Nothobranchius furzeri: one gene and its partner. The protein of the gene in region 1 purifies or fractionates together with the protein of each later gene. This does not show direct contact. Links are inferred from orthologs where the notes say so. Each region holds a gene or a part of one and is shown in the gene's direction. Other genes may lie near its edges.

Region 1 (16,835 bases):
ATTTAGTCTTATGATGATCAGAACACTCCTTTATGTTTTATAAATCTGTATAATAATAATGTCTTTGTAATGTAAGAAATAATTTCCAGTAGGTGTGATTTCTGTCTTCTCTGTTCTTGTTTTTCATTGAAAGGTTCTAGTTTCACTGCTTCCTCAGGCCTCTACGCCACCAACAACTCTGTGTCCAACCCTGCCAACTACACTGCTACACAGCAGGTAATGCACACTCGTGCACACTGAGAACAAGAGTCCAATAACCAGAACAGATAAAACAGTTGAAGTAAATGGTTCTTTTTTTGGTTGCAACAGTGTTTGAAAGTGATTTTACAGCCACACTCCAGCACAGCTTCCTCAGGGTAGAATGAAAAAAGAAAGCTCACTACTCTGCAACATGGGAAACGCAACTCTTGTGAAAGAGTTTTGTTTTGAATATTTGACTTCGTCCAAATGATGAATCGTTTTGTGGTTGTAAAATGCTTAGAAGGGGATTTCAATTTCTGTCTATGATAGATGTGGCTGTTTACATGAGAAAAGGCTAGGTTTGGTGTGTGTGTGTGTGTGTGTGTGTGTGTGTGTGTGTGTGTGTGTGTGTGTGTGTGTGTGTGTGTGTGTGTGTGTGTGTGTGTGTGTGTGTGTTGTATTACACATGTGTGTGTGTGTTGTATTACACATGTGTGTGTGTGTTGTATTACACAAGTTATCAGAACAAATCTGTTGAAATCATTTGGGGCACAAAAAGCAAAATTAGCACACACTGGGATCGTTTCCGTTATCAGAACTTCCAAATAATTGTACCAGACCTTTATGGCATTCCCGTGTCTCTATTTCCCTGAAATGACAAATTTCCACGACATTTCAGGGATCAACAGAGTACCAGAACAAGGGTATGTGCTCTGAAATGGCCCTATAGGGTCACTGGGCAGGACTTGTGGTTAACACATACTGATTGGTTGTAACTCTTTAGGAAATGACATCAGCAGGTGTGGCTAAAAAACCTGGAATTTGTAAAATTGGAAGCGTTAATGGTGAAGCTGAATTAAAGGAAAAGAAAATAAGTAGCGTTGATGCTGCTTTAAACTCACCTCTCCTAAACTCCCAACCTTAAAAAACGCGGCGGGACTCCCGCCCCAACGCCATACCTCACAGTGCTTTGTGGTGTCTTGCAGAGCACCCTAAAGAAACGGCACTTCTTCTGATCATTGAACACTTCTTTTTACATCACCTGAATCGACTAAATTATGATGTGTGAGAGAATTTAACTTTTTCATGTAATGTACATGGATGGTCTCTGGCACTGATCAGTGACATCACTCACTGTTGAAACGGTCGTGAAATGCTGACGTCTTAAGCTGGGCGGACACTGTGCGACTTTTTCACTCGTAGCACTCAGCTTCAGCTCAAACTGTACGACTTCCTCGCAGGGCAGATCTCACGAGTCATGCACTCACATTGCACGACCCAGTTCTCGGATGCGATTTGACTGCTCACACTGTACGTCTGGTAGCAACACGTCGGCCCTAAAAATATGCTAAAAATAGCAGTTTTTACTCAACACGTCAGACTTTTTTGTCTTGTCTTGCCTGTTGTCCTTCGGGAGTGCTGCAGGAGGACACACAGGGATTTATGGGGGTTGGATGAGGAAAACTAAATAAAGAAAGTAAATCTGTGTTTTGTGATCAGTTTAATTTGACATGAACACGACAAACACGCTTTCTTGACAATCTTTGTGAGTAAAAAAATGTGTAGAAATAAAAACGAACAGCGTGTGTTAGGGAATTAGCGGGCGAGCAGCGTTGATGCAGGATTGCGCATGCGCCGTGAGCGGTTCTGATACTTTTTGGGTCACAGCTGCTCGCAGCGCCGCTTCAACAGTGCGATAACCTCATGAGGGATGAGCGAAATATTAAACACGCCAGAAGTCTGTGCGAGCTCATGACTGCTGATCGGTAGCTGGTCACGTGGTGTTAATCGCCTCTCATAACCCCCTGTACACTACACGACGCTCGGCGCAAAACTCGCCCCGATCTCATGGATTCTCGCACGAGTGTAAAATCGGCTCAAAAAAGTGAAAAAGTCGCACAGTGTACGCCCGGCTTCAAAGTCCTGAAAGGGACGATTTTGTATGGAGACCCAACGGCTGGGAGGACAGAGCCATCGTACCTCCCGGTCACTCTTCCCTATCCCAGACATTTCCTGGAACTCCTATAGTAGAAACGGCTATTACTCCTATGTTTTCCCTGCTTGCTAATCTGTGTTATCATCTGCAGGATTATCCCTCATACACAACATTTGGCCAAAACCAGTATGCGCAGTATTACCCTGCCTCCACCTACGGGACGTACGTCACCTCCAACAGCGTGGACAGCACCAGCTCCACGGCAGCTTACCAGCTGCAGGATCACACTCAGGCTATGACAGGACAGGCTGCAGAACTTCACCCAGGTGTGCAGAAAATGTATCCTTATTAATAACTAGGGATGTAAGAAAATATCGATATGGCAATATATTGTGATTTTTCCTGCAACGCTATACTGGTATTCAAAAGCTGTGTATCACATTTTTGGAATAATTTACATGCAATCTTTTTGTGTGCAATTCAAACGCTGACCACTAGTTGGCAGCAGTGTGCAATGGGTTTTGTTTCCACCACTGAAACGTAAATCCCTCTATCGTGGTTCCGATACCTCACGTTAAACATGTTACGTATCAGTTTGGACTGTTAATTGAATTTTCCTACAAAACAGTCTAAAAAAAATTGTTAAAATCGTCTGGCTGAATGTATCGCAACATATCGTACTGTCTCCCCTGAATGTGATACGTATCGTATCGCCAGAATTTCACCAATACACATCCCTATAAATAACCTTACAGAACAATTAATTACATGGCATCAGCTGTTATTAGTTTACTGGTGCTTGATAAACGACGTATTAGCTGTTAGCACATCAACACTCTTGAATGTAAAAGCTTTTTCTCTAAACTGAGGCCACTCAGAAAGCTGTAACTTTCACACAGAAACACACGTCAAAGTGGCAAGTCATTTAACAGCAATTTGATGGGTGGTCTCAAAGATTTTGTTTGATTTGTTACATTATTTGAGTCTTCCTCATCCACCCCCTCCCTCTCGCTCTCCTTTCTCTCTCCGTACGAGCCCCGAAAACCCGAGTCTGGTTCTGGTTACTGAGCAGCAGTGGGTGCATATAGCACTGCAAGGGTGTGCTCGAGTGGAATGTCCATCTGTAGGCCTCTACTGTGTTTTTCCATGCATTCGGAATATCGATTATATGCTTTGTTAGGAATCATCTGATTACATAATGTGTTTGAATTATTGCACACTTCCTTTAAATCTGAATCCTACATTTTCCAGCGGACCTTTTGTTTAGGTTTCTTTCGAGAGTTTAAGTGGATCTTTCAGAGCAATTACTGTGAATTATTAAACTTGCCAAAGCTCTGTAAAAGTCTGAGTTATTGCTCTTCCTAACGTGGACACGGCATTCTAATGGAAGCTGTTTTAAACATGTCTTCACTGCTTTCACAATACAGTGAAGGTAGTTTGATTGTGCCAAATATTTACCATTCAAGCATAACTGTGGTTCTGTTGACTCTCAGGGGACTTTGATACAGTGCAGAGCCCCTCCACGCCCATCAAAGAGCTGGATGACAGAGCCTGCCGGAGTGGGGGGTCCAAGTCTCGTGGCAGAGGCCGCAAAAACAACCCCTCTCCTCCCCCTGACAGTGACCTGGAGGTAAGTGACTGAAAAACATGTTCTCACTGAGAACCAAGAGCACTGACCGGATTATCAATTCAAGCGTCACTAGAGATTTGTTCTGACTTTCAGTTTTGACCTTCTGCTGGAGAAGAACTGAGCAGAGAAATCAGTTTCTTTTATTTGTTCTGCAGAGGGTGTTTGTGTGGGATCTGGACGAGACGATCATCGTCTTCCACTCTCTGCTCACAGGCTCCTATGCACAAAAATATGGCAAGGTAATAATCCGCCTCCAAAACCTGGTAATATTTTCACTCTCTGGGTCGAGACAAAATATCTTCTGAAAATAATCGCTTATTGTCTGGCAACCTCCCGGAGCGCTTCTCCATTTAGTAATGAGTTAGTCAGAAAAAGTGGGCATTAACAAATAAAACTGAATGCAACAAAACATGAAAATACAAGAAAAAAGGCAAAACAAATGAGAGAAAGTGGGACAAAGCATTCCAATACCTCGGAAATTACGACAGAATCACTTGTATAACTTTTCCACGAATGTTGCAGTGTGTGTCCTGTCATGACCCATACTCAAACCCTTTCAATCCAGAGGAAGCAGTCCACCTTTCTCGGGTTGAGAACCATGACATCAGAACAGGACAACATCATCTGCAAAAAGTTGATGAGAACCTTCCTTCACACTAAACAGGATCAGTGATGGGGGGGCACCCTGGCAGAGTCCTACCTGCTCTAGCAGTGAGAACGTGGACACAGCTCTTACTGACTGTTTCAACACCAGATTGCCCTTAAACGTCACCCTGGTACCCAATACTCCTGCTGCACCCCTACAAAATGCCTCAGCAGGCGAGGTTGGAAGGCTTCACCGGGTCCGCAGAGCACATTGGAGCTCGACTGCCTAACCTCTGCGACCCCCTTATCAAGAGTGACGATCCGGTCTAAAGCTTCACAGCTCAGAGAAAAGCCCCCCTGCTCCTCCGAAATATCGGGTTGGACTGTCACTCCACGCCTCCTTTCCAAAAAAGTACAAAATATTCTCCAAAAATGACCAAAACCAATTACATTTCCCCATCAGCTCATATTCTCTAACTCAACAACAAACAGGGCACTCGTTGTTCACAGGCATTTGTACCTCTCAGTGGACTTTAACTGCTCCAAGAACGATACGCTCAATTTATAAGTGCATAGTTTATAAAACGAGTCTTTAAATGTAGCTATAAATAACTGTCAGTACTCTTATTAGTCTAATCGTAACCTGAATGTGCTCATTTCTACCTCTGAATGGTGTTTACTCCAGTCCTCTCTGAACTGGTTTGGTGGTCACTTTCTCACTTACTAGCTGCACTGTTTATAGTTCCATTTATTTAATAGTTCTTGGCACCGATCTGGGATCATCCTATGTGGCCACGGCTGCAGATTTTTATTGGGTGATGTCGTTTCCTGTGGGTACCCGTGTGGCCACTGGCCTCCCCGTGTAGGCTTTTCATATTTGGTTCATTCTACTGTTCTGTTTCTGCCTGGCAGAACAAAAGCTGGCATGGTCTGAGGGCATGTAGCCAGACCTTCATAGAACTTTGAGGGCAAGTCGCTTTACAAATAGGCATTTGTGGGGACTGATGGGCTTCCTTTTTGCTCCACACCAGTGAAATTTAATGTTTGGCAGTTTGGATTTATAAGAAAAGCCCCGGTTACTTGTGTGTGTGTGTGTGTGTGTGTGTGTGCGCGTGTGTGTGTATGTGTGTGTGTGTAGGGCAGAAACACATGTGGCCTCAGAGGCTGAGTCAGACTCAGAAAGATGATTTCATGATGTGCGTTTGGACTCAAGTGGAGACATTTGTGCATTTGTGATATGCATTCCAAAAATGAGAAGTTTTCTGTGGTTAAAAAACTGTTTTGTATTTTATAAACTAAAACATTTTCGTTGAACTTTATTTGAGCACAAACTGAATTTGCACCAAAAACATAAAAATCAGCAGCATGAGTGTTTTTGTGGAAATGAACACGGATCATGTTATTTTCAGATTAAAATGTGAAGTTTGGACCAGATTTATTATATTCTTCTACCATAGTTTTTAATTTAAATGTTTATGCTTGCTGATTTTTTTATTCTGTAGAATGTGTTGCTTTAAATTTGAAAACCAACCATTTCTAATATGCAAAAGATTTTTTTTTACTAAATTTGGGGGACCTGTTAATGCAACATACTTCTCTAAATAATTACAGGGGCCTTTTTTTCACCTTATTTTCTGCTGATGCGAGAATCCGTGGCAGCTGCTTCTGTTTGCACCTCACCCTAACTAGCATTTACAGTATGGACACAGAGACCACCAGATCTAAATTCCTGTCATACGTGGTTCGAGGTCAGATCTGCTGGACGCAAACACAAAAAGTCAGACTGCTTATAGCTCATTTGTAACAAGGGAAGATGTTTGGGACATCAGTAGGTGTGGATTTTTAAGAGTTCAAGGAATTAGTGTAGAAATAGTCAAATTAGCCAGACGAATATTTATAATTACTTAAATATTATTAAAAGTTTTGGCCTAATTGCAGCACCTGGAAAGGCTTAATGCTTTCACCCTTCCTTGATTTTGTTTCTGACACTCAGGAATGTGTGTGTGTGTGTGTGTGTGTGTGTGTGTGTGTGTGTGTGTGTGTGTGTGTGTGTGTGTGTGTGTGTGTGTGTGTGTGTGTGTGTGTGTGTGTGTGTGTGTGTGTGTGTGTGTACATGCGCATGCACCCCCTCGCTAACCTTCCCTCTCCTTCCTGTTGGTTTCTTTCTATTCCGGTCTGACAGTGTCAGCGAACTGTGCGACAGGCTGTCGACCCCCGCTGGTCTATCACAGATGATGGTTTTTGCAGCTGAGTTTCAGGCTGGCAGGGCAGGCTGTGCTCTCCCAAACACGCGCAAGCACACACACACACACGCGCACACACACAGGCAAACAGTTCTCATACATTCGGGCTCCGGCAGGCTCCGCTCAGGCAGAGGGTGTTTCCAGCTTCTGTGTTTCAGAAAAAGCTGAGTTCTAGTGATTTAGAAATCCCCCATGTCTGCAGGACCCTCCCATGGCGGTGACCCTTGGTTTGAGGATGGAGGAAATGATCTTCAACTTGGCCGACACGCACTTGTTTTTTAACGACCTGGAGGTAGGAAAAAAAAAACTTTTACGTTTATGCTTAAATTTTAAGAGAAGTGTTTAAAATTGCATTTTTGTTTGCACATTAACTTAAAGATTAATAAAGTTGCTCACTGAGATGTCACTACCGCCATCTAGTGGCAAAGTGAATATTGTTTAGATTCTGATTTATCCGCATGGACTTATGAGTGTTTGTGACTCCAGGAATGTGATCAGGTACATATTGATGACGTATCATCAGACGACAACGGCCAGGACTTAAGGTTAATATTTCATTTAATTTAGTTTGCATGATGACTTTTTTTCTACTTGAAATCTTTTTTCTTAAAATTGAATTAAACATTCTGATGATAATTAACAATAATCAAGTTTTTGTTCCACCAGAGCAGACTTTTCAAATAAAACATATTATTATTATTGACAGTACTTACAGTTTTGCAACTGATGGCTTCCATGCAGCTGCAACCAGCGCCAACCTGTGCCTGGCTACGGGGGTCCGTGGCGGGGTTGACTGGATGAGGAAGCTGGCCTTCCGCTACAGACGGGTCAAGGAGTTGTATAGCACTTACAAAAATAATGTCGGGGGTAAGCTAATACAAATGCAGTAATTTTGATCTGTACTAGGAGAAAGGTGCTGTTCAAGAAGGGTTTTATTGTCCTAAAGTAACACCTGAGCAGTTTTCTGTTCCTCTGTCCTACTGGTTGAAAGTGGAATTATAAAGTCTGTCGTAAACAACCCTGCTGTAGCTATTGCTAACAACTAGCTAATGCTAACCCTAACCCCCAACTAATACTAAAATAATCCACAAAGTAAAAAGATCCACACTGTTGAACAAAAAAAAATTACAAGTCCAGAAACAACAAAGCCAGGTCACCATCAGTCCGTGATTTTGTAGCCTCTTTTAGCTCAAACTAACACAAACCCGGCTGATGTTCACTCTGATTTTAGCTCTTTACTTCACGTCCAATGACATTACTCTATTACTTTTACGTCCAGGCTTCACCATGATGCCAACAAAAAAAAAGCAAATTTCTTCTTTTTCTACTTGTGCTTTATATTGATGATTAGCGAACTGAAAAAGCTATATGTTAGCATTACAGCTAACAGCCATGAAGCAGGTAAAGACCTCCCCCTATAGAGCACCTACATGCTCCACAAAACTTAAGTGCAGTAACTGGCCAATAGAAGAAGAAAAGATCTCTTCTACAGCGCCTCTCAAGATAAAAATCACGAGGCGCTTCACAAAAACAAAAAATTTTAAATATTAAAAAGAATTTAGAAGGTGATTAAAAATATGTTTAAAATGAGCAAAAATAGACTATTGTGATTAAAATATGTAAAGAAAGAGAGAGAGTGAATAGGAAAGAGGGAAATCGGTGGGTCCTGAGGAAGGTGGAATAGGTGGGGAGAGCAGAACCAGGAGAGGGTGATGAAGGTCAAGCAAAAGCCAGCTTGAACAAGTGAGTCTTCAGCTGCTTTTTAAAGGAGTCCACTGAGTCCACTGATCTCAGGCTCAGGGGGAGAGAGTTCCAGAGTCTGGGGGCCACAGCAGCAAATGATCTGTCACCTTTGACCTTTAGCCTGGTGCGCAGTAGAGGGCTGCAGAGTGGTGTTCAAAGTGAAGTTGGTGAAATTTCTACTCACACGGTCACTTAAACCCACTTTTGAAGGAATAGTTTAAAGTGTTAAAAAAACTGTTTAGTGTTCCTTTAAAGCAGAAATGAAGATTTTTGTCAGATGGCACCATCTAGAGCAGGGGTGTCAAACTCATTTTAGCTCAGGGGCCACATTGAGGGAAATCTAGTCCCAGGTGGGCCGGACCGGTAAATAAAAAAAAACTTCAGATTGTTTTCTTTGTTTTAATACAATCAATATAAAACAAGGCTGGAGCCTGAGGACAGTGTAGTACAAGTACAACACCTGAAGTGTACTTGAAATTTTGAAAAAAAAAAAAAAATCAATCAATAAAAAAAAATTCCTTAATGATTCAAAGAACTTACAGATCACATGGCAAGATCAGTTTCATGCAGCACTTAAAGCATATTTGACTCATTTAACTTTACATCTTTTAGCTTTCACCAGCACATCAATATCAGAAGTCACATCCTGAGTGGCAGCCAACTTCAGGATGTGATTCAAGTTCTTGTGTGAGCCTTGAGCGCAGCTTTGTTTTATTTATACTCATTACAGAGAAAACTTGCTCACAAAGATTAGTTTATTTTCACTCTACATTGTAAAGTATGAAAATAAAGTTTACACAACCATCTCGCGGGCCGGATTAAACCCGCTTGCGGGCCGGATCCGGCCCGCGGGCCACATCTTTGACACCCCTGATCTAGAGGCAGAAAATGCGTCGCACCTTAAGGCAAACTTTACCTCTGAAAACAATTTCTCGTGTTTCTATACCTCTGACCCTGTGACTCTGTTTTTGTGTGTTGTAGGTCTGCTGGGTCCAGCTAAAAGAGATGCCTGGCTGCAGCTCAGAGCCGAGGTGGAAGCTCTGACGGACTCCTGGCTCACCCACGCACTCAAGTCCCTGTCCATCATCAGCTCAAGGTGACACATTGTTTTACTTTTTTCCATTGTTGCTGATTTTTCTGTGTTCTTGAAGTAATCCCAACACGGCAACAGATTATGCACAGAAGTGGAAAAAATGGTGTGTTCTGTGTTCATGCCCACAGGAGTAACTGTGTAAACGTGTTGGTGACCACAACGCAGCTCATCCCGGCGCTGGCTAAGGTTCTTCTATATAGTCTCGGTTCCGTTTTCCCCATCGAGAACATTTACAGTGCAACAAAAATAGGTGAGGCTCACACACGCATGTACACACACAGTCATGGTTCAGATCACATAACGTGTGGAGCCTGAATCCTACCTGTTGCATTCGGCCCTTTGAACAACCTCAGTTTGTAGAAATAGATATAATCTCGTCATCTTGATAACATACGGCTAGTTGAAGTGGGTGCATTGCTATTAGGAAGTAGCTCTAATCTGAAAGAAATCATTGCATTTTGTATTTTTCTGCTTTTGATACCCTAGGATGGGGTTTACATACTTAAATAAATAGTTGCTTGTGGTATTTGCACTAGCAAAATAACGGACTTTGGACTAGTCATTAGCTTGTCACTGCGGTCAATCTGTTTTTCTCTAAACTGAGGTCATTCAAAAAGCTAACGACCACAGGTAAGATGAAATTCATACCTATAAACCGAATCAAACTTCAATAGATCCAGCTCTCTAATATATAAGAAGAAAGGATAATAAATAATTTATCTACAGTTAATTCAAATGTTTTGCCACATTTTTGACAATTGTTTTCTTTAAAGGTCAAAGTCACTGAAGAGGATTAGGGCCACTGAAAAGAAAAAAAGCAACTAAAGAGAATTTTGACTCTTTTTCTTAAAACTAATAAAGTCAGTATCCGAGAAAAGTCTGAATTTTCTCTTTGCTTTTCTGCGGCCCTAATCCTCTTCCGTACAAAGTTGTAAATAACAAGGTAACCGTAATTCAGTTACTTGGATTTTAAATGGCAGTTTTGCTTTTATTACATAGAAATGTGGTTATTTCTATTTGCTAATGATGGCGGCAGCTAGCTGTAGCATTTCTGGGTCACCTCCAGGGAGAATTTTATAATATTTTTCCTGAAGTATAGAATAAAATAGAAAAGTAATTTGTTGTTATACTCAAAGTTACAAATTACTTGAGTGTTCTCACCAAGCACTATGCACCACAGATAGTTACAGCAAAAGTAGGTAGCAAAACAATGAAATCTTATTTGAAAAACACAACCTATTTAATAACGGGTGAAATGGGAACCAGTTGTTGGTGTGAACTAAAAATACATTTGCAAATGAAACCATAGCTTGAAGTTGTTTGAAGATGAGCCATCCTTGCACTAGCCGTTAGCTTGTCAATGTGGCCAGGATTATTCTATATTTCTCCAAGCACAGGTCGTTCGAGGCTATTTCCACAGCAGGTAAGAATGGTTGATTCCACATAATTTGTTTATTTGAGCCTAAGTGCTGACATCTTTGGGCCCGACGAGCGTGGGAGAGCCATTAGGTGCGGCACATGTTTGTGTTGTGGCGCACGCCGCTCTGCCACTTCCTGTCACATCTCCATCCAAACAAATGGAAAACCTGTGAAAGCCGTTTGTTTTTCTCCAGGCAAAGAGAGCTGTTTTGAGCGTATAGTCTCCCGCTTTGGCACTAACATTACATATGTTGTGATTGGCGATGGGAAGGATGAAGAGCATGCTGCCAGCCAGGTAAACAAACAGCTTGTGAACTTTGACCCCTCTGACCATGTGACCCTCCTTCCTCCCCTTGTTTATTTGTTTTTTGCAGGGAAAGAGAGTTGCTTTGAACGCATAATGCAAAGGTTTGGCAGGAAAGTAGTGTATGTTGTAATTGGGGACGGTGTGGAAGAGGAGCAGGCGGCCAAAAAGGTAATGGACCCCCGAAACCTTAGCGTGACCCCGCCTACTCCGCACAGTGTGAGCTCTGATTGGACGAAACCTGCCTTTCTTTGCTGCAGCAGTTTTTTGTTTCTCTGGTCCACTGGCTTTTTGTTTTCATGGTGTGATGGGAACCTGGAGTGAATATCTGAGTTACAATCTGGCTTGGCTTATTGTGGATATTTGTACTATTAAAGCTGAAACGTCCCTCCAACACGGAACGTCTGAACAAAGATGACCTCGTTCAGAACTTTAATTCTTAATAAAATGTTTTGCCAAATGTACACAGTAACCAAGCTTTACATAATCACTTGTTTAGAGAATCATTGCTGCTTTTTCCAGTGATTTTAAATGTCCTTCCTATAGGTACTCTACATTAGAACATGTCTCCTTCAGAAAACGACTCCTTCCTCTTCAGCTTTGGGTTTTATTTGTGACACCTGGGGTCGTTTAAAGAACAATGCATTTTGGGAAATATTCCTATTTACTTCCTTGTTCGGTTAGATTGAAAAGACAGATAAAGACTGTTTACTTGGAACAAAAAGCTGGAAATATGGGGGGATTTTAAGCATAGCTGTTTTAAATTAAAAAGATGCTTTTAGAATCAAATGTCAAAATGTTTACAAACAGATCTTTGGATAAAGAAGTGGTTCACATGAACAGTTCAGGGAACATTTTCATTCAGCTGTGCGTGCTTTCACCAGTAATCCAAGTTTTTAAACGTTAAATAGAAAATCAGGAACTTTTTATTTGTAGGTATGAAATAAACCAGTTAGTGGTTAGAACTGGGTGAAAAATTCAAGATTTTTTTGCAACAACAGACCCACTAAAAGTTTATATTTAACACATGGTTGTATTTACTAGGGATGCACTGACAGGAAACGGGCCGATATGTGCTGGTGTGTGTGTGTGTACACATTTATGCTTCAGAGACTAAACACAGGACTAAACAATTAAACATCAACGCCTCACTCTGTGAAAGACACAGAAACAAGATAGAAAACATATTGGTTAAGATCAGCCCAGTTTTATTTATGGGGCCGATACCCATGGTAAAAAATGACTAACATATCGTATTGATGCCAAATTACCGACGGGATTAAAAATGTATAAAAACTGTAGTTTTCTTAATTATCTAAAATGTGCAGAAATGTTCCTCTCGTCTAAAACGACCCAGAAGACCAGTACGTCTAGGAGCCACACCAACGTTTGAGTCGTCAGCCAGATTCTTCTGCCTGTCATGCAACTCAGAACAGGAGCTGCATATTTCCCAAAATGCTTCCGGATAAGACGTGCATGGGTTTGGTTTGCAGTGCCATTGCAGCTCCAGGCTATATAGATGGCGTAGCTTGCATGAGCTGAGGTGGTGGTCTTCCACTGCTGGAGCAGAACCTGTGGTTTTAATGGTGTGTGTTCACTTCACAGCACAACATGCCCTTTTGGAGGATATCCAGTCACTCTGACCTGCTGGCCTTGCACCAAGCACTGGAGTTTGAATACCTGTAAGGACTGTACCATTGTGGACTTGTGCATCGCTACCATGGAAACAGCCCTCTTTTGTACTATTTAAGAACAAAACTTAAGACTGCATCTTGTGTTTTTTTTTTTTTATCTTTTTCTGAATGTTTGGATTTACAAACTCTTTATGGTCTTAAGCAAAGAGGTTGGAGGTTAGAGGTCAGTGGGGTTTGGAGGAACTGGACTCTATGCACAGTGACCTGGATGCTGATACACTTCTGAAGAATCCAGTTTACCGTCCACGCAGCTGAGCCAGAAAAGGATCTTCTCAGAACCTGGAGCGTTTCTCTTCCTGTTACCTGGCGTTTATCTAGAGCAACAGACAGACATCCTCACCTAATGTTAATCTGAAGGCATCTGCATAGATTCTAATGTAAACTGGGATACTTTCTCCCTTCAAAGGGTTTTTTTCCTGGTGGTAAAACTCATGCAGTCCGTGGTAAAGAAATCTGTAAATTATTTCCAATAAACACAACAGTGGATGTTTGTTTCTTTTGTCAATAAAATTCTAGCTATTCTTTCCCTCCTGAATTCATAATCCCGACTTCATATCGAACAGCTTTAACACAAATCACCAGAGACAAAGCTTTTATTTCCACATTTTATTCACATCTCATTTCTTGGCTTTGAAGTATTCCTCAATCACATCCTTAGCTTGAGACTCTTTGCCATAATCCTGTAACCAGAAGAAAACGTTAAGATTAGCTAAACAAGTTCCGGTTATTTAAACATGTGGGTTTGGTGCAAGTAGGTGACCGGGATTGCACCATGGCCAAGACTTGGTATGAACAGCACCAAACCATTTGTCCTTGAACACAGAATGCCACGTTTTACTCTGATTACCTTGACAACAACACAGCTGCAGCCCACCACCTTGCGGGGTTTGCCCTCACGGTCGATCTTGCACAGACCAACCCACTCACCGAGCTTCTTGTTGTCGTCAACCTGAAATAGAAATTTAAGTCGATGGAGAGTCAAACAAGCAGTAGAAAGTAGGACTGTACTGAATAAATGGACGGTAAATACCCGTAAGCACAAAAACAGTCGCCCACTAGATGGGGCTGTGGCAGCAGAATTGCTCCACATCCAGATTCATTGACACCATTATTCCACTAGATCTATTAATTGCTATCATTTTAATTGCTACCTAAAATACTGCAACCCTAATAGAAAATACTTTGGTTAAGATTGGTTGAAAAGCTAAAACACACTGGACAAGTATTAAAATAACTAAAATTTCCTACAAACAAAAAGTATTTAAGATACAATCTCAGTCTAAAGATGGAGATTACAGAGAGCTAGCCTGGCCTGCCAGACTCTTCCTCTGTTCTACATAGGGCTGCAACAACGAATCGATAAATTCGATGAAAATCGATTACTAAAAGCGTTGGCAACGAATTGCGTCATTGATTCGTTGTTGCGCAACTCTTCCAAAAGCCCCCTCCCCTCCTGCCCGCCGTTGCGCGCAGACCGGTGGAGAGCCGGCAGGTGTTTGTAAGAGGAACATGGCAGAAGCAGCGAGACCCCAAAAAAGTAAAAACTTCTAAAGTTTGGGAGCATTTTCAGTTAAATCAGGCGAAGACATTCGTTACCTGCAACGTTTGTAGGTCAGACTTAGCATGGCACGGGGATACTACGGTGATGATGCAGCGTCTTAAACGCAAGCATGTCAGAATCATCAGCGAGGAAGGAGAGAGCTCGGTGTCCGGGTAAGTTAAAAACTTTTCAAAAGTGATTCACCCAAGCCCCGGATTATTACACAGGCTAGACATGCCCTAAGCTCGTAAAAAAGTCTATAAAACTGTAAGCGCGACGCTATTAGATAGGCGGGGGGGGGGGGGGGGGGGGGGGGGCTCGCGCCGCTGCGAACCGGTTCCGCCGTCACATTCCCGCAGAAACTGGTTGATCACACCGGGGCCAGACTACTAACATGTGGCTTTACAACCACAATGTCCTCGAAGCGAAAACGCTTTTAAAAGGGAGGGAGGAGTCCTAACTGTTGCAGCAGGCGTGTTGTGTGAGAGTGCAGTTATATACTGGTTAATATATTTTTGGGTTCAGTTGCTTTCATGTGGCCTAATGTGAGTCTATTTGGGATCATTGGAATGATCAGCAGCATTTCTTGATGTGACTTTATGGCAGTTGCCCAGGGCATCATCACAAGGAGGATGGCATTCATTTACTTTTGTTTTATTTGGTATTTTTCAGTCATTTTTGGAAATAGTGATTAATTTTGATTAATTCACAGCCTATGTTTAATTACATTTAAAAATTAGTTGTTTGACATCCCCAGTTATAATAAATGTCAACAGATGAGATCAAACAAAACAGATGAGAATTGCCCTTAAAGAGCAAGTCACCCCCAAATAAACATTTTTTTGCTGATAAACTAAACAAACGAGTGTCTAAAGCCGGGCGTACACTGTGCGACTTTTTCACTCGCAGCGTTCAGCTTCAGCTCAAACTGTACGACTTCCTCGCAGAGCAGATCTCACGAGTCGTGTGCTCACACTGTACGACCCAATTCTCGCATGCGACCTGACTGCTCACACTGTACGTCTGGTAGCAACACGTCGGCCCTAAAATGTGCTAAAAATAGCAGTTTTTACACAACACGTCAGACTTTTTTGTCTTGCCTGTTGTCCTTCGGGAGTGCTGCAGGAGGACACACAGGGATTTATGGGGGTTGGATGAGGAAAACGAAATAAAGAAAGTGAATCTGTGTTTTATGATCAGTTTAATTTGACATGAACACGACAAACACGCTTTCTTGACAATCTTTGTGAGTAAAAAAACGTGTAGAAACAAAAACGAACAGCGTGTGTTATTAGGGAAATAGCGAGCGACCGGCCGGCGTTGATGCAGGATCGCGCGCGCATGCGCCGTGAGCGGTTCTGATACTTTTTGGATCGTAGCTGCTCGCAGCTGCTCGCAGCGCCGCTTCAACAGTGCGATACCCTCACGAGGGACGAGCGAAATATTAAACACACCAGAAGTCCCTGCGACCTCACGACTGCTGATCGGCGGCTGGTCACGTGGTGTTAATCGCCTCTCGTAACCCCCTGTACACTACACGACCGCTCGGCGCAAAACTCGCCCCGATGTCGTGGCTTCTCGCACGACTGGAAAATCGGCTCAAAAAAGTGAAAAAGTCGCACAGTGTACGCCCGGCTTAATCGTGCTGCAGACACGTGTTGTCAATAATTTGGCACTTCAGTGCATCTTAGTTAAAATTTAAATATTCTGCCTAAAACTGGCAGTGTTGTGCCGTTGTCAGGTAAAAACTCTGCACTGTATTTTAATTTAAATCTGCCACCGCTATTGGCTAAGAAGTATGCTATGATGTAAACTGGTACATTATGATGTCACAGTGCTGTCGTGAGCCTGAGTGTGTGTGTATTTGTTAGCGGCTCTGCCCTCTCGGTCTGCCAGGCAACAGCATGTGTTGCATTTTTCAAACATGAAGCGGGAGTGGAGTTAGACTCTGGTAGGGGTTGACTTGCTCTTTAAGCTGTTTAACTTGGACCAAGCATTTTAGGTCACAGATAGGTGTAGCTTAGGGTCTCTGTCTATACACCTTATAAGACAATTTAGGTGATGGCATGTTGTTTTTCTGCTATTGAACTGTTTTCTAATAATGTTGTGTTTAATAAAGTGAAGGAAGGAGAAAAATAACGTTTCCCTAGCAGTTTTAAAAAAATGTCCCTATGTAATCCGATTAATCGATTAATCGTGTCGAGACCCCATCCGATTAATCGATTATCCAAATAATCGTTTGTTGCAGCCCTAGTTCTACACACAACCAGTCTGCTTACTCACAGGCAGAGGCACAAAATAACCAATCAGAAAAAAGGCAGAGATGTATCACGCAACTATTTTTTTAGCTGTAGCCAAAAATGGTGTCTGGCAACCGTGCAAACATTTTTTTGTTTGTTTTTTTTTTTTTTTGAAGAAAGGCTTTAAGCACTTCTACTTGTTTTAAAGACATCCACGTCCTTTAGAAC
Region 2 (15,997 bases), on another chromosome or scaffold:
ATAACCAAGTTAAACATCACTTACTGGTAAAGTACCGGGGAGTGATGCATCAAAGAACGAAACCTGGGAGTTTGGAGGAGCTGAGAAACAAACCGGAGAGCCAGAGAAGAGCTTGCTGTTGGAGGAAATCTGGGCATGAATTTCCAAGCCAACAACTCCAACCAGCTTCTCTGAAGAGCTGAGGTGAAAAACACAAAGAGAAAAATTTATCTGGTAGCCTGAAGAAAAACAGACCAAAAACTGTAACTGTGTCTGGCTCACACATCCACTCTAATCAGATCACCTGCACTGACCCAGTTTATTAGGGGTGCTTTACAGAGAAACAAGTCCAATTCATTCAAATGACTCAAATGACAATCTGTCACCAAAGATATGCTTTAAGTGGACAAATACATCAGAGGCACACCCACAAACTTTTCATAGGGGTGGCCAGATGGGGCCAGTGAAAACTTTAACAACATTTCAGCTATTGCAATTATTATTATTATTAACAGTATTTATTGTTTTAGCACTTTAGAACAGTTTAATTTTATTTAATTAGTAACTCTGACAAAGACAGCAACGCTGAAACATTGGTTCATTTATATGCACTGACTAAATACTTTTACTTTGACCCGAGTACTCCAGCTTTGTTTTTCCACTTCAGTTTAATTTGCCTGTTTCTGTTTTAAAAATGCATTCACAAAAACCATATATTCTCAAAAATTAGCATATTGTGATAAAGTTCATTATTGTCTGTAATGTACTGATGAACATTAGACTTTCATTTACTGTAATTTCCGGCCTACAAGCCGCTATTATTTCCCTGTGCTTTCAAGCCTGCGGCCAATATCATGGTGCGGCTCATGTGTAGATTTTTGTTGGCCAACAACCACTAGAGGCACTCTCCAGCAGTAAAGTGAGACAGGCACGGCAAAACGTTATGCGCAGAAGAAGACGCTCTTTGATTTAAAGGGGCACGTTTACACATCAGACACACCCTTGTCATGGAAAACACGCGGAGGAATGCACATGCTGCAGCTTTCAAGTTAAAAGCGATCGATCTGGCCATCAAACAAGGAAACAGAGCCACTGCACGGGAGCTTGGCATAAATGAATCAATGGTGCGACGTTGGAGGCGGCAGCGGGAAGAACTCAATGTAAAAAACGACAAAAGCTTTCAGAGGAAATTAAAGCTGATGGCCGGAATTGGAAAACATTCTTGAAGACTGGGTGAACACACAAAGAGCAGACGGCCGAGGTGTTTCCACTGTGCAGATCATTACTAACCAGGCATGTTTTGTGTGCAGTTTTTATTTTCTAATCATCCAGGGCTTATTAATGCTGTGTCAGCGCTGTTCTTTTCTTCTAAACATGCAAATTAATGGTAATAACGTGTCAGTGCTGTTTTTATTTTATAACCATCCAGAAATATGAATGCTATCAGTGCTGTTTTCTTTTCTAAACTTGCAGGCACGTTCACACGTGTTTAAAATTTGTTTTGTTGAATTAAAACAACAATGAAAAACTTCCGTGTAGTGTCTTTCTGTCTAATTATCTTATGTTATAGCCGTACATGCGCTGTGCGCCGGAGACCTGCATGTGGCTGCTGCGCAGCGGCTTGTGCGGCGTGTGTGTGTAGAAAACCTTTTTTTTTTTTTGCTGGTGCGGCTTATATTGAGGTGCGCTCTATAGTCCGGAAATTATGGTATATTACATTTAGGGCTGCACGATATTAGGAAAACCTGCGATATTCGATAACAATGATTAATATTGCGATGACGATATTACTTGCGATAAATAAAAACTTAACTCAGGAACAAAAATAATCAAAACAAAGAAATAAAAAATCATAAGAATGAGAAATGCAAAAGATGCGAGGAAAAGGAAAAAGAAAATGAACAAGAAAAGGCAATCAGTGGATCCCGGGAAAAGCAGAATCAGCAGAAAGAGCTAACGAAGCTAACTCAGGTGTTTGCTAACCATAGTGCCATCCGCCTCGGGGGCAGGCATCTGACCTATGAGAACCCAGCCAATTTGGCCGAATGGGTGAAGAGCTCTATTTGATTTGTTAAAAAAACATCATCGATTGACAGAATGCATTATGTGTAGCAAACATTTGAGCTGGCCATTCATTGCAATATTTATCTGTTCTTTGCGATATGCATATTGTGCATGCTGATATCACGATAACGATATATTGTGCAGCCCTAATTAGATCCATTACACACAACTGAAGTAGTTCAAGCCTTTTATTGTTTCTAATATTGATGATTGTGGTGTACAGCTCATGAAAACCCAAAATTCCTATCTCAAAAAAATTAGCATATCATGAAAAGGTTCTCTAAATGAGCTATTAACCTAATCATCTGAATCAACTAATTAACTCTAAACACCTGCAAAAGATTCCTGAGGCTTTTAAAAGCTCCCAGCCTGGTTCATTACTCAAACCCGCAATCAAGGGTAAGACTGCCGACCTGACTGCTGTCCAGAAGGCCATCATTGACACCCTCAAGCAAGAGGGTAAGACACAGAAAGACATTTCTTAATGAATAGGCTGTTCCCAGAGTGCTGTATCAAGGCACCTCAGTGGGAAGTCAGTGGGAAGGAAAAAGTGTGGCAGAAAACGCTGCACAACGAGAAGAGGTGACCGGTTCCTGAGGAAGATTGTGGAGAAGGGCCTATTCCAGACCTTGGGGGACCTGCGGAAGTAGTGGACTGAGTCTGGAGTAGAAACATCCAGAGCCACCGTGTACAGGTGTGTGCAGGAAATGGGCTACAGGTGCCGCATTCCCCAGGTCAAGCCACTTTTGAACCAGAAACAGCGGCAGAAGCGCCTGACCTGCTACAGAGAAGCAGCACTGGACTGTTGCTCAGTGGTCCAAAGTACTTTTTTTGGATGAAATTAAATTTTGCATGTCATTCAGAAATCAAGGTGCCAGAGTCTGGAGGAAAACTGGGCAGAGGGAAATGCCCAAATGCCTGAAGTCCAGTGTCAAGTACCCACAGTCAGTGATGGTCTGGGGTGCCATGTCAGCTGCTGGTGTTGGTCCACTGTGTTTTATCAAGGGCAGGGTCAATGCAGCTAGCTATCAGATTTTGGAGCACTTCATGCTTCCATCTGCTGAAAAGCTTCATGGAGATGAAGATTTCATTTTTCAGCATGACCTGGCACCTGCTCACAGTGCCAAAACCACTGGTAAATGGTTTACTGACCATGGTATTACTGTGCTCAACTGGCCTGCCAACTCTCCTGACCTGAACCCCGTAGAGAACCTGTGGGATATTGTGAAGAGAAAGTTGAGAGGAGGAGAAGAAGAAGAAGAAAAAGAAATTCATTTCCATAGCGCCTCTCAAGATAAAAATCACGAGGCGCTTCACAAAAGCAAAAAAATGTAAAACTTAAAAAAGCATTTAGAAAATGTTTAAAAATATATTTAAAATGAGCAAAAATAGGCAATTGAGTGCATAACTGAACATTATTATTTGCAGGATGACTTTTTTTGTATTAAAACACTTATTTTATTGGTCGGATGAAATATGCTAATTTTTTGAGATAGGAATTTTGGGTTTTCATGAGCTGTACGCCAAAATCATCAATATTAGAAACAATAAAAGGCTTGAACTACTTCATTTGTGTGTAATGGATCTAATATATATGAAAGTCTAATGTTTATCAGTACATTACAGACAATAATGAACTTCATCACAATATGCTAATTTTTTTAGAAGTACTTGTATTCAAGATGTAAGGGTTCACGGGGGACTGCTGAACCGTTTCGGTATATATATGTGTGTGTGTGTATACATATATATATATATATATATATATATATATATATATATATATATATATATATATATATATATATATATATATATATATATATATATATATATGTATATATGTGTGTGTGTGTGTGTGTGTTATATATATTGTACAGGCCAGACGTTTGGACACACTTTCTCATTCAATGTGTTTTCTTTATCCCTTACCCAACGTTTAAATTTTCTAACGTTAAAGTCATTAGAGCACAAAAAAATGCACTTAGAAAGCTTCCTTTAGAAATATTATATAATATTTCATAAGTCCCAATTTTTTTACATGAATTTCATCCTTGGCTTCAGCCCTAACAAAATATAATAAAATATGTGTGTGTTTCTCAGATTTAACCCCTTCATTGCTAGGTTTATTAGCAAAACCCAAAGTTTGAAAACTGTACAAAAAATGAAAAAATCAAATCATTTTTTGTGTGTTATGTCCAGATTACCTTTTTTGTGGGTAAGTTGTCACAGCCTTGGAGTGTCACAAATAGGCATAAAAATATTTTTTGCTCACTTTGTAGTTTTTGTGTAATGTCATATTTTCTAAAATACTCACGTTAAAGTCATTAGAGCACAAAAAAATGCACTTAGAAAGCTTCCCATAGAAATATTATATAATATTTCATAAGTCCCAATTTTTTTACATGAATTTCATCCTTGGCTTCAGCCCTAACAAAATATAATAAAATATGTGTGTGTTTCTCGGATTTAACCCCTTCATTGCTAGGTTTATTAGCAAAACCCAAAGTTTGAAAACTGTACAAAAAATGAAAAAATCAAATAATTTTTTGTGTGTTATGTCCAGATTACCTTTTTTGTGGGTAAGTTGTCACAGCCTTGGAGTGTCACAAATAGGCATAAAAATATTTTTTGTTCACTTTGTAGTTTTTGTGTAATGTCATATTTTCTAAAATACTCACGTTAAAGTCATTAGAGCACAAAAAAATGCACTTAGAAAGCTTCCCATAGAAATATTATATAATATTTCATAAGTCCCAATTTTTTTACATGAATTTCATCCTTGGCTTCAGCCCTAACAAAATATAATAAAATATGTGTGTGTTTCTCAGATTTAACCCCTTCATTGCTAGGTTTATTAGCAAAACCCGAAGTTTGAAAACTGTACAAAAAATGAAAAAATCAAATCATTTTTTGTGTGTTATGTCCAGATTAACTTTTTTGTGGGTAAGTTGTCACAGCCTTGGAGTGTCACAAATAGGCATAAAAATATTTTTTGCTCACTTTGTAGTTTTTGTGTAATGTCATATTTTCTAAAATACTCACGTTAAAGTCATTAGAGCACAAAAAAATGCACTTACAAAGATGACCAGTTGAACACTTTATTAAAGCACACGAACAAAGAAAAAGTGTGTGTGTGTGTGTGTGTGTGTGTGTGTGTGTGTGTGTGTGTGTGTGTGTGTGTGTGTGTGTGAGAGAGAGAGAGAGAGAGAGAGAGAGAGAGAAAGAGAGAGAAACACAGAGGGGAGTGAGCTAACAGCTGCAGGCTGAGCACACAGCTGTTGAGTGCTCCTTGCACACAGCCTGTCCACATGCATGGCAAAAGCGTGCATGCACGCTCCTCTTCCCTCTGCAAAGGTGGCATCTTTTCTTTGTCTGCTCCTGGGCTGGACCTGGCTCCACTTGCTGCTGCACCTCCAACAGAGCTGCAGCGCTGCTGGACCACGGCAAGCGAGTGCGCCTCGCCTGGGCTGGTCTCACCATGGAGGTCCCAAGCTCCTGCAAGAACAGCCTTCGACGGATGCTCCTCTTCTGTTGGTTCCAGGCCGGTTCCACAGACAGCCACAGGACCAGGGCATTGTAGGCGCTCACATCTAACATGTTGCAGAAGAGCGACATGGGCCAACGTCTGGTCTTGCGGCGGCAGCTGTATGTTGCAACGAGCTGGAATAAAAATAAATGAATAAATAAATTACATATGCAATTAGGTTGGTGAATTATAATAAAACAAAATAAAATAAATAAATTACCTTGTCCAAGTTGTCAACTGCCCCTTTGCAGCGGTTGTAATCGATGATTACGGTCGGCTTCTGCTGCGGTCCCTCCTGGATCTGAACCTGATGGTGTTTGGTGCTGAGGAGCAGAACGTTCCGCCGGCGCTTTGGAATGTAGCTCACCGCGGTGGCGGTGGAGGTGAAGCCGAACAGGGAGGACAGAACCGCTCTGCTTTTCATCTGGAGCAGCTGTGGGGGCAACTCTGGCTTGTTGCGCCTAACTGTTCCCACAAGACAGATTTTTTTTTTAGCAGCTCCTCTCCAAGAACCAGCGAGGTGAAAAAATTGTCCGTGGTGACAGTGCGGCCGCTCAGACCCTCCGTGAGTTCCAGCACCACCCGCTTCCCTTGCCCCCTTTCTGCCGGGGCGTCTCGAGTCGTCTTGCCCAGATAGGGAATAATCCCCCAGGCATAAGAAGTGGCCACATCGCACACCACCCACAGCTTGATGCCATATTTTGCCGGTTTTGAGGGCATGTACTGCTTGAAGTTGCAGCGACCTCTGAATCCGACGAGCTGTTCATCAACGCAGACATCTTCACCGGGGTTGTAGGCGAGAGGGAGCCGGGCCGCCCAGAGGTCCCACACTTCCCGCAGGGGAGCGAGCTTGTCCTGCTGCACCAACCGGCGGGCTGCCCTGGTCAAGCGGTCATCAAAGCGCAATGTTGCAGTCAGCATGTGGAACCTTCCCAAACTCATCGTGGCTCTGAATATCGGCCTCCCCGTTTCCTCCCCACAGAGGCTGGCAGATGATTCCCCACGGGAACGGTGCACACCAGCGAGGATGAGCAACCCAAACAATGCCCGGAGTTCCACGCGGTCAACGTCTGTCCAATCGTCATATTTTCTTCTTCCCTCTATATTGGTGTATTTTATTATTACATCTAGGATTGTTGTAGTTAAAAAAAAATCGAAGCTGTCCTCAATAGTTTGGATGTAGCTGACAGCGAGGCGGGTGATCCCACAATGGCGGACGTCTGGAGCCCGAAAGGGGATCCTGGTGTCGGGGACCAGGCGATCCCGCTCTTTGATTGCCACAAAGGATGGTCCCATCTCTCCTCTGCAGCAACCACCTCCTCATCTGAACCTTCTTCCATTTCTTCCCCTGAATCAGGCCCTGGGGTAAAGGCCTGATCTTCAGCCTCTTCATCCGAACAAGAGCTGTCGTCCGTGGATGAGGATGAGGCTGACTCTCCCTCTTCCTCAAGCTGCTGAAACACCTCCAGGGCTTCATTCACATTGAATCTTCTTCTCATGGTTGCGGTTCAAAGAAATGAATCCTGATCTGAGTCTCATATATGTACTTTTAGTCAATTGGTGCACCTGTGTAAGCTGCCCCTACTGAATGTAAACAAAATTCGATTCTGCAGGAATTTGTTTTGAAAAACAAATGTATGCCTTTGAAGTTTTTCAGCCTTCATCTTAGCTTTCATCCATGCAAATGCTTTGTACTTATTGAAATAACATTTTGCAAAAGTAAAATTGTGAATGAGTATCTGAAATTTAGCAGAAAATCCTTTGATTTTTGATATATAGCATTCCTTTGATGAATATTCATGAAGTCAACAGAGTGTGAGAACCTGTGCCCCCCCCCCCTACACTCCCATGGCCCACACCTGCTCAACCACTCCAGATAATGATCACAGATCTGTCCTTTGAAGATCTGTAAAGTGCTTTGATACCTACATACACGCATGCCTGAACAATCACACACAAAGGAACACATGTCAAAATGCTATTTTGCAGAATAAGCTAATTTTGTACATTCAGTCAGGCTTATTTTTTGAAAGAACACTGAAAAAGCACAATTACCAAAAATTCAGAACACACACATGCAAACTATTGTATGGCATCTCTAAATAACACACAAACCATTTTTTTGCAAAATATGTATTATAATGGGCAGTCAGAGGTAAAGAAATACAGCTAAATCATTCAGTTTAAATGCTGGGTCAGCCATTGCCCTGCTATATATGGAGAAAGTATGCCATGTAGTGAAAAACAGTAAAAACTGCTTCTTACATTTGTGATGAGACTGTAAACACGGGCACAATCATAATTTTTTAAAATTATGCCAATATTTATGCTAATTAAAAATATATGATTTACATGAAAGTCAATGGCACAAAAAAATGCTTCAATGTGCTTAACTGTACAAAATGATTTCCACGTTTTAATAAAGTAGGTTGAATATTTTTTCAAACTTTTTTTTGTAATTCCTTCCAAAATACACATCCTCCATAAAAATTAGATAAATTGCATTAACATAGCCAAAGTTATTCACAAAAATACACGTGTCAGCACAAAAAAATGCTCTAATGTGAGGTAAGGGTTATTTTCATGACCCTTTACATTAGGAGATTCTCACTGAAGGCATCAAAACTATGAATGAACACATGCGGAGTTATGTAGTAAACCAAAAAAGGTGAAATAAGTGAAAACGTGTTTTAGATGTTAGGTAGTCCTTCAAGACTCTTGGAAAACCATTTAAGGTGACTACCTCTTGAAGCTCATCAAGAGGATGCAAAGAGTTTGTAAAGCAGTAATCAGAGCAAAGTGTGGCTATTTTGAAGAAAATATCATATAAATGCATAAACTATCCACAGAAAGAGAGGACTGTCTTACCTCTTGGTTGTGAGATGACGCTGGCTGTCGCGTTGTTTGCTGGATGTGCTACATCGTCTACGTAAACAAACATTTATGGGCAATAATATTGATAATTGTTTTATTTTATGAAGCAACTCGTTTGCAACGCAGGACGCCATGTTGTCCTTAACGGTATTTGAATTTGTGGGATTTGTAGTTTTTTATTTCATTGTAAAGCAACAACTAAGTTAACTGTTTTGAAGTGAAAACTACAAAACCCATCAGCTTAAGAACCGACCCAAACATCCTCTTAAGACTACGTCATTTCCGCTTTGTCGACCGGCGGGACTTCGCATGTGAACCGGCGTTGTTTGCCACAATTGAAAAACAGTTTTAGTAGGAGAAAAACGGACGAACTCTGCTGAAACATGATGGCAACAAACGGAAGAGAAGCTCGCGGACTAAAAGAGAACGGAGCGGTCACGGAGGAGCAGCCACACGCCAACAGGGAAGCAGTTCGACCACAGAAGTTCACTTTCAGCCCCGAGCCCACCATGGAGGATATTCGGCGGATGCAGGCCGAGTTCACCGACGAGCGGGACTGGGACAAGTTTCACCAGCCCCGTAACCTCCTCATGGCCATGGTCGGAGAGGTGGGCGAAGTGGCGGAGCTCTTCCAGTGGCGAGGAGAGGTGGCGGAGGGTCTGCCGGGCTGGACCGAGTCCGAGCGGGAGCAACTGGCCCACGAGCTCAGCGATGTTTTGATCTACCTGCTGGAGCTCGCTGAGAAGTGTCGCGTCGACCTCCCCCAAGCGGTCCTCCGTAAGATTGCTCTCAACCGGCTGAAATATCCCGCCAGCAAAGTGCACGGCTCGGCCAAAAAGTACACGGAGTACGAGGATTGAGGCTGGGGGACATTTCTGATCAGGGACGCTTCTTCCCAGCTGCTGCTGCCTGGAGTTGCTTTTGTAAACTCTACCAAAGTCCTGCTGCGGGACATCTGTCTTTCTGGGCCAGATACCTTCATAACCACGATTACTGTTTTGTATTTTACATTTTTGTCTCAGACCTAATATGGAAGATCTCATGTGCTTTCCGAGTCACTGTTAAAACATTTATTTTTGTAAAAGGAAAATACTTCTGGTCTGTTTGAAAGTTGTTGTTCATGTGACCAGTCTGGTGTATTGATGATGATTTGGAAGAAGATACTTTTCTAAATAATCTGAGTTTGTACCTTGGTTGCAGTGCAAAGGTGACCGTGATGATAAATGTTTTTTTTCTTTATCATTAATAATAGAGAATGTTGTGTTTTTATGATTAACTTCCACCAGATTTGAACAGTTTGTTTTAATCGTGATTGTTACGTGTTGTTTCTTAAAGTAAAAGTAGCTCTAAGTCAGATTTGTGTGTGTTTTATTCACTTATGTGTATTTGTGCAGTTAACTTTATCATGCACCTTTATCTATGTTTATATTTTCAGTTAGTAATTCTGTCTGGTTGAATTTTTGAAATTGAATTGATTGGTCAAAAAATGGAATCTTACATTTCAGTTTAGACATTTCCTTTTTAAATAATTAATTTAATTTATATTATGCTTCTGGCCAAGTAAGAAATTTATAATACCTAATAATAATAATGCATTGAACTTATATAGCGCTTTTCTAGACACCCAAAGACGCTTTCACACACTCTCACATTCACACACTGCCAGTGCTGGTATGTTACTTGAAGCCACAGCCGCCCTGGGGAGGTCTGACAGGCGAGGCTGCCATTTGGCGCCGTCGGCCCCTCTGACCACCACTAACACAGGCAAGTTGGGTGAAATGTCTTGCCCAAGGATACAACAGCAGGATACCCCTGGCGGGAGCTAGAATCGAACCCATGACCCTCCGATCATGAGGCAACCCGCTCTACCACCTGAGCTACTGCTGCCCCGCATTATTGGTGTATTTACATAAAATGTGGTAAATTTTATTTATATAGCACTTTTCACAGACGTAGAATCACGAAGTGCTTCACATAGATGAAAACAAAATTAAAAAAGTCATAAAATCAAAATGCTATCAAAACAGAATCAGATTAACATCAGAAAAAATAGTCATGAAATGCCTATCTCCAGCAGTCAATGGGCAATCAGGCGGGGTACACCCTGGACAGAGAGCAAGTCCATCGCAGGGCAACACAGAGACACACAGGACAAACAATCATGCACGCACACACACCTAAGGACAATTTGGACAGACCAATCAACCCAACAGTCATGTTTTTGGACTGTGGGAGGAAGCCAGAGAACCCAGAGAGAACCCACACATGCACAGGGAGAACATGCAAACTCCATGCAGAAAGATCCCAGGCCAGGAAGCGAACCCAGGACCTTCTTGCTACAAGGCAACAGCTCTAACCACTGTGCCACTGTGCAGCCTAAAATGTCATTTCCCCTGTTTGAAAATAAGCGCATTAGTGGTATCAAAAAGCTTCTTTAAAATTCACGGACATCAGATGTAAAATCTGTGTCACAAAACAAGCAGAAATAGAAAGTAGTGTTTTTATCCCCATTGACTTGCATTCATCTTCTTCATTCTTGCGGGGACCCATGGTGAGGAAGTAGGTGGGCGTGACTCAGGTTCCCTATAGCCACCCCTGACCAACTAGGAAAAAACTTGGATCCACAACATCTCGTTTTTTGCCAAAAAATAAATAAAAAACAAGTGCATTGGAAGCACATTTATAGACATGCCAGGCCTGTAGGAGGCAGTAGTTCTCTAAATTGTTGGAGTCTGCTGCATTTATTCCCTGGATGTGGAATAGTTTGGTGGTGTGCAACAACCATCTTAAATGTCCTTTGCTTGTGGTCTTTCTAACGCTAACCCTAATGCAAGCGAGAGTAAACAAAGGTAGCAAATTTACTGTAAGCAGTGACCTTGTGAAACCTAAAACTGGTTATTTATGTCCACAAGCGAATGCTGACAATGAAGAATTCACAAACCTCCACCTGGCCTGACTTTTTGAAAGAATAATGTTTGGTGGTGTGTGCTTTATCTTTAATGTGAACGACAGGCCAAACCACAGAATACTAACTTTGTTTTGTGGGATATTCGACTACATGTTCAGTTTGAATCTTCCTGCTCACTCTCGCAGGACAACACTACAAATCTCTCTGAATTCACTCCTTTTTGATTCACCTGATCCAAAGGTCACACCAGACTAATATGGAGGAGCAATATATCCAGCCTTTTTCTATGACTTATAGGTGCAAAGTAAATGTGATGCAGAGCAGAACATCTGTGGAGGACTTGGTGTGGCACTGAAGAGTAAATGTTTGGAGGTTTTTATTGTTGTCTGATGTATTTTGAGACACACCATGCCCTCATCTGGAAATCCTGGTCTTCGGTGGGAAGTGTGAGTCATACTCAAGCTGTCGAGAACAGTCGTGCATCGCTAAGATGGTAAGCTGAGTCTGACTTCAAAACAAACTGCATTTTATTTAAAAAGATTTGGCGAATCCATATTCAGATGGAGCAAATGTTTGTTAATCTGGCATCAAACTAAAACGTTTTCTGGTTTCAGGTATCGATCGCTGACTAAAGGGTTGTAGAAAACATGAGGGCTAAACTTACAGGCCAACTATTTTGGATAATCTGATGTAAAATATTGCTGACAATATTCTACATCTGCTTGTTTTTGTATGATCCTAAAACTCAGTCCCAGTTTATTAGAAAGACCCCGATTTATCAAAAGGTCTCAAACAAGCCTTCCAGTTGTCACCTGAAGCTTTTTTGTCTTTAAATATTTCGTGAGATTCTTAGGATGGATGTCCACCTTTTCATTTGAGCACCGATAGAAAAATATGTCAATTTGAACATATTTGGATGTTTTAGATGAATGCTTAGAAGCATTCATTTTAAACTGCCACATCTTCAACCTGCTCCTGAACACCTTAAATAAATTATGATTTTACATTCAGTTTGAGTTGAAACAGTTCCTCTGAAAGTTCTAATCCAAACTTAAAAGTTAGTATGCTAAATCCACTTCATAGAGCTTTTGACCATGTTTAAGTGTTATTTCTTCATCAAAAACATCCCCAAAATGGCCACACATACATTTTCCTGTCTCATCTGCTTCTTTTCTTCAGATTAGCAAATTTTTGCTTAAACGGATTAGGTTGTTGCTAGATCACATCCCGGTATTCTCTCAAGTCCAGATCCTTCCTCCCCTCGACTGTAAACACTAACGCCCAGCCTCTCCATGCAGCTAGCAGGGAGTTTAGACAGACAGTCAGTGGATACACTGACTTTATATTAAATCATTATTAGTATTTTTTACTTGTCACAGTGACAGAGGAGGAAGTGCCTCCCTTGCCTCCTCTGACCGCACGTCACTGCCATCATCTCTGTTCATGGTCCTTGGTTCGTGTCTCCTAATTTCACTGGCTTTTGTATTTCTGTTGTTCTGTGTGGGGTTGGGGTGTGCTGTACCATGGTTTTCCCTTGTGCAGTGGTCTGTTACGGCCGATTTATTTATTGTAGCTACTTTCTGCTTTTTTTTTGCTGCTCTTGTGTGTCTTCGACTTGTTTCCTTCACTTCACCTTCCTTAAAATGTAAAAACACATTTTTACTACGCTGCGTTTAGATGAGAACCAAGCAAGGGAATTAGCAATGATAATATTTTATCATTTATTGGGCCTATCGCTGCTCTGAAAGGTGTAGCATGATGCAGGTCCTTTAAAATTGAATAATATTGCAAAACTCATCTATTGCATCCTTTTGTGCTGCCAGAATTGGTCTCTGCTGTCTCTAGAAACACCTCAAACATGAAAAAACCCTGTCCATTTGTTTTCCATCAGTGTTTGATTTTAGGAAACATGCACCTTAAACAACCCGTTTGACATCACAAATAGAGAAATTAGAATACAACCACCTGGGTAACTGAACTTCTCAGCTTATAGCAGCCATGTAGGGGATGGGTGGAAATGGTCAGTACAGCTTGTTTTCTCAAAATGGCAGGGCCAAGAAATGGCTCATTCTGGAAGGTACTGAAACTGTCAACATTAAAACTACTGAAATAGCTTCATGCGAGAGGAATTTATTGCAAATAGCTTCATTAACAGGTTTTAATACACCATATTACTATCATAACTCAAGATAAACTAGAATGTCTACATTAAACTGACCCTTGTATGTTGTTGCACCAAAGTACTTTACATGAAAAAGAAGCAATTCATCTCTGGAATAAAAAATCTCCACAATATGACATCTAAAGCTACTTTCTGCTTGGTGATCGAGAGTTGATTATGTGTTGGAACCTTCTAAAAGCCTCTTTTAGAAACCACCATGCAACTGTCTTGCTGATTGTACTTTTACAAGTCACATTGTAAGATTGCCTCTTCAAATTTATCCAACAAACCCAACCAGTATCACAAACTGCACCCAAATCAAGGGAAGTTTTGACCTAAATAACAAAGACTGTACTTGTGTTGGTTTGAAGTGCAGCCTCGTCTCTCTCGGCGTATTGAGTTGGCTTCACTTTAAAAGTTTCTAAATGTTCGCTGAAACGAGCTAAGGAGATGACTTTTTGCTCCCTTGTGTTTATTACGTTTTGAGGAAGAACTGAGAGGGTGTTCGTGCTGCGGCACTGAGGGCATAATTACATTTTAGACTCTTGATGAGTTGAAATCTGTGGATGTTTCTTGTGCTTTGTGCTGTTCAGTGAAGCAGATACCATCACGCCTGTAGCTGCTTGTTTTGAGTTTCTAAGAGGATGCTCGGAGTCTAGTTTGCTGTGCTCAAACAGAGTTACTGCAGTGATTGGGCCTGTTTTTGGGTGGAAAAAGCTTTATTTTTCTGTTTTTGGGGCAATTTCCTTCTTATCATCTGCATCTCCCAGATAACACTTTATTTCCCCATAACAACAGAAGTTGGAGCTGTCAGACCTCAAAAAAAGGGGTTATTTAGTGGTTCACATCCCACATGAGGAAATTCACTCACAAAGAAACAAAGGAAGACATTTTTTGCTAATGGATGGAGAAGATATTTGCCCCTCTTTAGTGATTTCTCCCTACAACAAACTCATCCTATATTTACAAGCATTCTGAACATCTTAGGATATTCTTCTCCTTTTACTCAAGCCATACTCTCTAAACTAATCTAGACACGTAACACGAGCAAATCTCTGCAGGAAATTAAACATTTCTTTGGTTTTAACTCAGTCTTTATTGTCCTCATGGGGTCGCTTGGTTCCAGGCTGCTGCTTATCTGAACAGAACAGTGTTGGTGCCATTTACACATTTTATTCTCTTCAATCGCTAACTCCAGAGCACGCTTTGCTGTAGGCCGATGGAACTGGCCAAATAGCTTTAGGCTGCAATTATTACAGCAATCATTAAATTCTATTATGTTCAACTATTTCAGAATAAATAGGCTTTTTTTCTAATTGAAATCCTTCAAAAATAATTCTATATAGTATTTGAGTTTTGTGAGTGAAGATGCCAATGACAGTGAAAAGGCCTTTCCAAAGCAAACATAATGGTATTTATGCCAAACTACTGACATTTATCACAGTTTTAGCACAATGTTGACATCATTTTACTGGATTTGTTTTCCTTTCTTGTGTTTGATGAGGTTTTGCTTCTCATCCCAATAGAAAGAAAATATCCTTGCATGATGCTTTTAAATCCAAAAAAAGCATACCAGCAGTTTTTTAAGGGGTAAAGTTAGCTTTTAGGATGTCCTGGATTTGTGTGATGGGACGTATCCAAAGCTGTACTGTAGAGTTACTCGACAACACACTTTATTATTGCTGCTAAGCAGCTGCAAAGATGTGCAGAAAGTCACAGACTTCAGAAAACGAGAGCTCCTGTCAACAACAAACAACATGTTTTACATCCAGACCTTCCTTTAGAGACAATTAGAGCTGACTCAGTCAGAAATGTATCTGAAATTGGCCCCAGACACCCAAGCAGGGTCCTACTTTCAAAAGAAAAGAGCAAAACTAGTCAAATCGTAAATGGCCGGCATTAATTTAACCCTACTAGAGTCCTTTAGCCCCCCCCCCCCCAGTGTCTTTACAGCAACAGCCTTTCCCTCACACACATTAAAATTAGCTTACTGGGTAAAAAACCCTTCCCTATAATATTCATCACACTGAAGTTTTAGTTTTCCTACTCTGACAATAATTTGGTCACTTCACTGCAGCAAGATGAAAACGACTCCAGCATCCCGGCTCAGACCAATCCCTTTCCGTCTTTATGTTTGAAAAACTGCAAACGGAAGAAAGACTTTTCAGCTTTTATAAGATTTGAAATGAAAGCTGCATTCCTGTTTTTATAAGTTAATCAACAAAAGCATAATTTAAATTACTTTTAATATATTTAAGTTCAAGAGGGGCTTGGAGTAGATCCGCTGCTCCTCCACGTTGAGAGGAGCCAGTTGAGGTGACTTGGGCATCTGACCAGGATGCCTCCTGGATGCCTCCCTGGTGAGGTTTTCCATACATGTCCAACTGGGAAAAGACCCAAAGGAAGATCCAGGACACACTGGAGATACAATGTCTCTCATCTGGCCAGGGAACACCTTAGGATACCCCCGAAGGAGCTGGTC

Evidence for each region.
Region 2: the proteins of eya4 (region 1) and dctpp1 purify together in Homo sapiens (affinity purification with mass spectrometry; 3 studies listed by BioGRID and IntAct, with this or other methods). This does not show direct contact. The link is inferred for Nothobranchius furzeri from reciprocal best matches to the Homo sapiens genes EYA4 and DCTPP1.

What each region holds. Positions count from the first base shown.
Region 1 is NC_091742.1:856,670-873,504, forward strand, and holds the end of eya4 (eyes absent homolog 4), read left to right. Parts: intron 1-133; coding exon 134-216; intron 217-2,267; coding exon 2,268-2,442; intron 2,443-3,609; coding exon 3,610-3,746; intron 3,747-3,901; coding exon 3,902-3,985; intron 3,986-6,776; coding exon 6,777-6,866; intron 6,867-7,060; coding exon 7,061-7,119; intron 7,120-7,280; coding exon 7,281-7,441; intron 7,442-9,298; coding exon 9,299-9,413; intron 9,414-9,538; coding exon 9,539-9,660; intron 9,661-11,023; coding exon 11,024-11,124; intron 11,125-11,203; coding exon of another isoform or gene 11,204-11,304; intron 11,305-12,738; coding exon 12,739-12,819; 3' UTR 12,820-13,313; downstream 13,314-16,835. Other genes in the region: rps12 (small ribosomal subunit protein eS12), read right to left, coding at 13,445-13,507, 13,675-13,776. UniProt on the Homo sapiens protein: Tyrosine phosphatase that specifically dephosphorylates 'Tyr-142' of histone H2AX (H2AXY142ph). 'Tyr-142' phosphorylation of histone H2AX plays a central role in DNA repair and acts as a mark that distinguishes between apoptotic and repair responses to genotoxic stress.
Region 2 is NC_091747.1:80,459,848-80,475,844, forward strand, and holds dctpp1 (glutamyl-tRNA(Gln) amidotransferase subunit B, mitochondrial), read left to right. Parts: upstream 1-8,623; 5' UTR 8,624-8,829; coding exon 8,830-9,306; 3' UTR 9,307-9,503; downstream 9,504-15,997. Other genes in the region: gatb (glutamyl-tRNA(Gln) amidotransferase subunit B, mitochondrial), read right to left, coding at 25-178, 8,441-8,580; piggyBac transposable element-derived protein 4-like, read right to left, coding at 5,296-5,706, 5,793-6,037, 6,133-6,792, 6,903-7,071. UniProt on the Homo sapiens protein: Hydrolyzes deoxynucleoside triphosphates (dNTPs) to the corresponding nucleoside monophosphates. Has a strong preference for dCTP and its analogs including 5-iodo-dCTP and 5-methyl-dCTP for which it may even have a higher efficiency.